2 linked regions of the Macaca fascicularis genome follow. The protein of the gene in region 1 interacts with the protein of each later gene in a pairwise test. Links are inferred from orthologs where the notes say so. Each region holds a gene or a part of one and is shown on either strand. Other genes may lie near its edges.

What was found.
Region 2: the proteins of TXNDC5 (region 1) and GMPPB interact in a two-hybrid assay, tested with the Homo sapiens proteins (2 studies listed by BioGRID and IntAct). The two-hybrid records come from large-scale screens. The link is inferred for Macaca fascicularis from reciprocal best matches to the Homo sapiens genes TXNDC5 and GMPPB.

What each region holds. Positions count from the first base shown.
Region 1 is NC_088378.1:165,099,053-165,102,860, reverse strand, and holds part of TXNDC5 (thioredoxin domain-containing protein 5), read right to left. Parts: intron 989-3,808; coding exon 873-988; intron 1-872. UniProt on the Homo sapiens protein: Protein disulfide isomerase of the endoplasmic reticulum lumen involved in the formation of disulfide bonds in proteins. Can reduce insulin disulfide bonds.
Region 2 is NC_088376.1:112,742,578-112,746,485, forward strand, and holds the start of GMPPB (mannose-1-phosphate guanylyltransferase catalytic subunit beta), read right to left. Parts: upstream 2,256-3,908; 5' UTR 2,031-2,255; coding exon 1,902-2,030; intron 1,776-1,901; coding exon 1,695-1,775; intron 1,607-1,694; coding exon 1,558-1,606; intron 1,424-1,557; coding exon 1,281-1,423; intron 1,065-1,280; coding exon 906-1,064; intron 818-905; coding exon 739-817; intron 666-738; coding exon 538-665; intron 455-537; coding exon 59-454; 3' UTR 1-58. UniProt on the Homo sapiens protein: Catalytic subunit of the GMPPA-GMPPB mannose-1-phosphate guanylyltransferase complex. Catalyzes the formation of GDP-mannose, an essential precursor of glycan moieties of glycoproteins and glycolipids. Can catalyze the reverse reaction in vitro.

The sequences.
Region 1 (3,808 bases):
CGCCCCGTGCTGAGCATCACACTAAGCAGTGTACTTTCACCTGCCCAGACACCACACAGTAGATCTTAGCTCAGTTTTGCAAAGGGGGAGACCAGGCGTGGAGAGGTTTTGCCCAAGGTCAGCCAGCCAGGTCCACCCAATCCCCAGGTTTACGCTTTTGACCATCTCACCATCCCAAGTAGATCATCCTGTTAACCATCATCCAGTCCTAGACACGCAGCGTTACTTTTGTATACAAATCAGCCCCGTGGCAAGGTAGAAAAACAAGATTTTTAAAAAAGGAAATCTATGCATGGTGTCTGGTGGGTGCTGGAAAGTGGACAAGAATAAAAGTGATATCCCTGGAGCTACACTGGATATTTCCAGAAAATCCAGTTACACAGAAGTTGTCAGACATCACTCTTGGCTTCTCTGTATAAAGTGGGAAACCCTGGAAAGAATCCCAGGCACAGTGCAAACTGAGGGAGGGTCTTCTACGTGCCTGGGTGAGCACAGGGCCAGGGTCCTTTTAGAGAGGGCTCTTGGGTGAGGTCGAACGTGGATGGTCTCCAAGTTCGTCCAGTGAACATTCTACAAGGCTCGACCCCGTATCTTTGCAGAACGGGCTCTGGGGCTGCCAATTCAGATTTGGCCATCTCTTCAAAATAAACAAAGCAGCCGAGGCCATAATTTATCTCTGGGCTGTGGAAAAGTCAGCAAAACTCAAAATCAGGCTGCCATCTGTGAAGGTGAAATGAATTATCAAGTGGCACACTAAATGGAATTAATAAATCAAGTTTGCGACTTTGCACACAGAATGAATAATGGGCCACTCTGCTAATTAATCCAGCCCAAAGCAGTCCATTTCCAGTTTAATAAGGGCTTTCACTCACCTTGCCAATCTTGACAGTTTCGGAATGTTCAAGGCCCAGAGCCAGCTGCTCCCAGGTTGGAGCCAGAGCTTTGCAGTGACCACACCACGGAGCGAAGAACTTGATAAAGTGGTCGCCTGGAGTGGAGAGCCAAGGCAGAGACGGGGGAAAGAAGAACTGTAATTTATGTCAGACCTCACTAGAGAGTTAATTGAAGAATCAGATCTTTGTCCTGCTTAGCAAATCTCAGTTCAGCATGAGCACTTTAATTGGTACAAAGGGACTCCATCAAATGTGTTTCTATTCATGAGTTCATAACAATACTCAAAACCAAATTTGTCATCTTTGATGGACAATCAGCAACAACTCATTATTTGGAAAACTGTAATAAAGGGAGAGAATGAGGCATTTCTCCCACCTCTCCCATATGCACTGCACCACTGAATAACCAGGTGATAAATGAGGGCGAGTTTCTCTTGGTTAAAAAATGAAGGGACGCTTGAATGAGTCTCGGCACTTCGCAGCCCTAAGGAATGAATGGACCCAGGCCCTGCCCGTGATGGTCGCCCACATCCCAAAGAGAGACAACTGGACACTCTGTGCCCCCACCAGCTATGAGGTCTTCCTGTGCCCCCAAAAAATATCACACTGAAACTGATTCTGTCCCCAGACCCAACTACCAATTTACAGGAAACAGAGAAATCAGGGAAACATGTAGACCACACTACGGGGACACAATTAGCAAAGTCTGGACCACGGGGAGCTCTACAGGTGAAACCACCTATGTCTTCAGCAAGAAAGAGAGATGTCTGGAGAACACGCAGGTTAAAAGAGCCTTAGAAGATATATACACACACACACACGAAACTACAGTGCTCAGGAATGCGCACTTCAGTGATGAAACCATAAAAGGAGTCGTGATATGGTTTGTCTGTGTCCCCACCCAAATCTCATCTTGAACTCCCACATATTGTGGGAGGGACCAGGTAGGAGGTAACTGAGTCACGGGGACAGGTCTTTCCCGTGCTGCTCTCGTGATGGTGAGTACGTCTCACGAGATCTGATGGTTTTAAAAATGGGAGTTTCCCTACACAAGCTCTTTTTGCCTGCCAATATCCACGTAAGATGTGACTTGCTCCTCCTTGCCTTCCACCATGATTGTGAGGCTCCCCTGGCCACGTGGAACTGTGAGTTCTTCATTAAACCTCTTTCCTTTGTAAATTACCCAGTCTCGGGTGTATCTTCCTCGGCAGTTTGAAAACGGACTAATACAAGTGGTTTCCACAAATGTCAGGAAAGCGCCTTCTTGGAGAAGGGAGGGCGGGCTGAGCCCTGGATGGGACACGGGAGGCTGGCAGTTTTATTTCTTGAACCGGACAGTAGTTAGTGTGACCACTCTATAAAAATTCATTAAGCCCTACAACATTTGTTCTCTCGATCTGTATTACATTTTATCATAACAAAAAGTTTAAAAAGTAAAACATCACCCCCTTGGCTAGGGGACACACACACACACAGAAAAAACAAGCCCTCACAGCATCATTCTTTGGACACAGGAGGTGTTTAGCTGTTCTACCCTGACATCGGGCTGATACCAAACTGAAATCAGGCTGTGGTCAGGGAGAGAACGAACCAGTGGCATGTGGCCTGGCCTCTGAGCAGGACTGTGCCACGCTAAGGCTAACAGCTACTGCCTCATCAGCACAGCAACGATGCACCTGAAGAAAATGGTGCAAAACTTCCTTTAAAAGTTAACAACTTCCATTTAAAAATGTGCAAGGCTGAAACCGTGTGCAGGTGCACGGTAGATCCTGCACTGTAAGATGGAGACAGGCTCTCTGGGAACCTAATCAGAGTACTGATGGGAAGCCAGCAAGGCCAGGAAGGCACCATGGTGCCTACACGACACAGCTCTGTCGCAGTGACCCACTCAGGGAGGCGCTGGCGAGTGGCACTTGGCCACCCCTAAGGAATGAATGGACCCACGCCCTGCCTGTCATGGTCGCCCACATCCCAAAGAGAGACAACTGGACACTCTGTGCCCCCACCAGCTATGAGGTCTTCCTGTGCCCCCAAAAAATATCACACTGAAACTGATTCTGTCCCCAGACCCAACTACTAATTTACAGGAAACAGAGAAATCAGGGAAACATGTAGACCACACTACGGGGACACAATTAGCAAAGTATGGACCACAGGGAGCTCTACAGGTGAAACCACCTATGTCTTCAGCAAGAAAGAGAAAGAGATGTCTGGAGAACACGCAGGTTAAAAGAGCCTTAGAAGATATATACACACACACGAAACTACAGTGCTCAGGAATGCGCACTTCAGTGATGAAACCATAAAAGGAGGCCTGTTACAGGCCTGCCAGAGCCGGTCTGTAACAGGTGATTCGGGAAACACATCCTGCTCAGAGCCCAAGCCAATTCCAGCTGCAAATGCACTCCCGTAGCAAAACAGCTGAAGTTCCACTGTCAGGGCACCGGTACAGATGCAATAACAACTTTTAACAAAATGGGAAACGGCTGAAGGCCTTATGATCAGTTACTGTGGACAGTAAGTGTGGTGGGGGAGGGCTGCTGACTCCCAGCAGGCACAAGTCACAAGGCCAGAGGCAATCCAAGCCCTTTCTCACGTTTCCAAGCCAGTCTTCTAAGGGGATTTCTCTCCATGGTAGCATTTGGTAATGGGAGTCAGCCAGGAAGCCAAATTTGCTTTCAAGTCATTCGGCGTTGGGCCAAGTTTTCTGAAACACATCTACGGGTGAATAAAGGACGCTTACATATTCACATTGGAAATTTAATGGGGATCATTCTGATATTAGGAGACCATTTTCAAAAAATGGGATGTGGTATAGAAAGATCTTTTAAGTGGAAAGAGTAACTAATTTGATTCATGTTATAATGGTGTCATTAAATTCTGGGTTTTGTTTGGTTGTTTTCTGAGATAGGGTC
Region 2 (3,908 bases), on another chromosome or scaffold:
CAGCACTCTCCCCTTGCTGATGGGAAAACCGGGGCTTGGCCAGCCCCACTGCATCCCCTTACATGATGATACGAGGCTCTGGCACTGACTCGCCAATAGACTTGTGGGGCAGCACGCTGGCTCCGTTGAGGTAGAGCTCATCGTTAACTATGACGTCCTCACCCAGCACTGTCACGTTCTCCATGCGAACCTCCAGGAGAGGATAGGCCTTGTCAGGGAGACAGGCACACTCCCCGCCCCTCTCCCCACCTGGCCCAGCCCACAGGCTTACCCACTGGCCCACACGGCAGCGCCAGCCCACAATGCAGGACTCAAGCCATGAATGGGAGCGGATCCGGGCATCCCGCAGCACCGTGCACCGCCGGATACACACACCATCTTCGACCACCACGCCAGGTCCCAGGCTCACATTGGGGCCAATGCTGCAGTTCTGGCCAATGCGGGCACTTGGGTCCTGAGAGTGGTGGGAAAAATACAAGTGGGCCACTTGTCTCCCAAGACTGAGGGGGTTAATGATGGGCTGGGCAAGGGCCTCACCACCAGCACGTTGCCCACAATGCCAGGGCCTGAGTACAACCGCTCAGGGTGCTTCTGCCTCAGTGACTGCAGGAAGAGGCACATGCCAGTGAGGAAGTCCTTGGGCTGCCCAATGTCCATCCAGAAGCCTGTAGGGAGGGATGTATCAGGGCCCTCAGCCCAGCCACAGACCACCCCCACCCTGTGGCCTCCCTGCCTCACCCTGCAACTCCATGGCATATAGCTGCCCCTCCTTGGCCATAATGGGGAAGACCTCCTTCTCAATGGACGTAGGCTGCAGCTGTGGGAGTGGGCAGCTTGTGAGCAGGGTCATGGCGGTGATGGCCTGCCCCACCACAGCCCACCGACAGCTGTCTCCTACTACACACCTGGATGCGCCGCAGCACCGCAGGGCTCAGGATGTACATGCCTGCGTTGATCTTATTGGACACAAACACCTGCGGCTTCTCCACAAACCGGTGAATTCGGCCTGTGTCAGCCTCACACACCACCACACCGTACTTGGAGGGTTCCTCCACCTTGGTTACCTGAATGCAAGGAAGGGGACCTCGGACCTAGTCCAGTGTTCCTGAGCCTTGATATACATGCCGTTCCAGATCTCAGAGACTCTGCCCCAAGTGCTTAAAGATACATACTGCACAGCTCTGTACCCATAACATCCGAAGGCAGATGAAGGCTAGGGGGCAGGGGAGGCTGGGCGTGGAGGGTGGAAGTGTCAAGAGAAACAAGACCTGGCGCCTTACCAGGATGGAGCCCTCCTGGCCATGGTGCCGGTGGAACTGCACCATGGCTTGGAAGGGGAAATCGCAGATCACATCACTGTTGAGGACGAAGAAAGGGTCTGCAGTCTCAGAGAGCAGGTCACGGGCCAGCGCCAGGGGCCCAGCTGGGGGAAAGGGACAGGTCACAACCTTGCTGGAGGTCTGAGTCCCTGGATTCAGGCTCAACAGGCCCAATGCAGGCTGGGTCTTACCCTTTTCCTGGCCTTAAACCCTCCCCAAGGGACCTTTCTCTACTGACCTGTCCCCAAAGGCTCCTCTTCATGGGACATGGAGATTCGGATTCCCAGCTGGAAGGAAGAGGACCCCCAGTCAGGTTCTACCAGGATGGGAAGTTGGGTGGGGACCGAGGATAAGGGCCAAGAGTCCGTGCCTCACCCTCTGCTCCTGTGCCTTCATTTCCTTCTCCAGCACCTGCGACATGTAGCTCACGGCCAGGATCACGTGGTCCACGCCTGCCTGTCAGAACGCAGGCCAACGGGCGGGCTCAGTCAGAAGGTACGGGAGCCCCTGACCCCCTAGTCACTGGCCATCCCTAGTCCTGCCAGATCCAAAAGCGACTCCGATCCCGACCCAGGGTCTTACCGCAGCTAGCGCCTCCACTTGGTGCAGCAAGATGGGCTTATTGCAGAAGTCCACCAGTGGCTTCGGGGTGCTCAGTGTCAGCGGCCGTAGCCGCGTCCCATAGCCCCCCACTAAGATCAGTGCCTTCATCGCGCCTGCGGACGTTGAGGGGGTGTCCCGGGCTCTGAGGTGCCTGCAGCCCGTCTAGTCGGTCCCTGCAGCGCACTCCCAACGCCGTGCCCGGCCCCGCGCCCTTCACCAACCCGTCTGACCGACTCTGGCTCCACCTCGTCCTCCCGGTCGCCCTGACGCCGGATCCAGGGCCGCCACAACCCAGAACGCGACGCCGGGTGGACGGCTGCTGGCCACGAACTCAGGGCGGACCCGGCGCGGGCAGTGACGCGAGCACCGCGGGCCAATCGGCTGCCGCGTACGTGGCACGGCCGCCGGCGACGGAGCGTTGGGTCGCAGCGCTGCGACACACGTAGCCAATGAGCGCCCGAGTACGCCGGGCTGCCATGGAGACCCGGGCCGGGACCCGCGGGTCAGCTGGCCATTGGCGGATCCAAAGGCGGAACTGGCGCCAAGGGTGAGGCCTAGTTCCCTGCTTCGCGCCGTCCAGCAGCCGCCGGCCCCGCCCCACCCCGCGGCCCGCCCCCACGGCCCGCGTCGCGGCCCAGCCCCGAGGGAGGGTGATCAGGGAAGGCTCCCGGACCACGGGATTTTCACAAAGACAGACTCGCCTCCGTTTCTAGCGGCTTTATTTTTGACATACACGACCTCAGACACAAGCGGGGCGGGCAGCGCTAGGTGTACAGAAAGGAGCGGGCTCGGACCGAGCACCCCTCAGGCAAGGTCCAAAGCAAACACTACTGCGGCGGGAGCCACGGGTTAGTGTCCGGGCGCAGACCTCGGGCGGTGGGGACAGGCTTAGCTTCCAAGAAGAGGAGCAGAGAGCGATTCCCAGAACGCGGGGGCTTACAGTTCCCCGAGAAGCAAAAGAACCAGGTCCTTCCCAGGGTTGTCCATTTTTTTCTCATTAAAATATTTTTTAAGTCAGCACAAACATAACCAAATTGTACAGCTTTAAAGTTCAAAGCAATCTGCATCTAGGGAACGTGCATGTGGTCAGGAGTGAGCGCGTGAACAGCAGCTACGGAACTAGCACAGGCGCCAGGCCCCATGATGGGAATCCCCACGCCCATTGCACAGGCCCAGAGAGGGAAGGGTGGGGGTCCCTAGCAATTTGCTACACTGGTCCCCTTCCTCTTTTAAGCACCACCCGTCCCACCCCACCCTCAGGGGCTGGTGTCAGCTTGGCCCAGGGAAGCACTATAGAGAGGGGTCACCGGAGCACCCCAACCCATGATCCCATGTTGCACTTTGGTCCCAAGTTGGGGCTAAGGCAGGGCCTGGCAGGGAGAGGGCTCTGGCATGGGGCAGGGAGAAAGCAGTGGCAGACAGTATGCACACACACTTGCCCACTACCATTAAATAACAGGGCTGGGTCTCCAGGTGTCCAAAGTGCTGAAAAGAGGGGCCCTGCTCTAGGGGAGCAGCAGCAAATCCCAGGCCTTCCCACTCTTTGTAGTGCCAGGAAAATACTGAATATAAGTGGATGAAGCCTTTGCTCGCTGTGAGGAGCAGCAGAATGTGGCAGCCTCTCCTCCCAGAATCTAGGAACCTGGGAGGCACAGGACATCCCCAAAAGGTCCCAAACAGCTCCAGACCCTATGCCTTACCCTCCACCCTACCAGGGAATGACTAAGTCTACACTAATGAAGGGCTACTGCCCCCATGGCTGAAGCCACAGAATGGTACAGGAGAGAAAACCGTAATTTCTGACCAGAAACAGCCAAGCTGTCCCTCCCAGCCCCAAAGAATGGGAACCTGCCCACCAGTGGCACCAGAGCCGGGGGCTAGGAGAGATGGCATCCATCAAGGAGCCCTTAAGAAGCTGCATCTCTAAGGACCAGGAAATGAGTCCATCAGTTACCAAGGCCTCTCACAGCTGGCAGGCTTACCTTT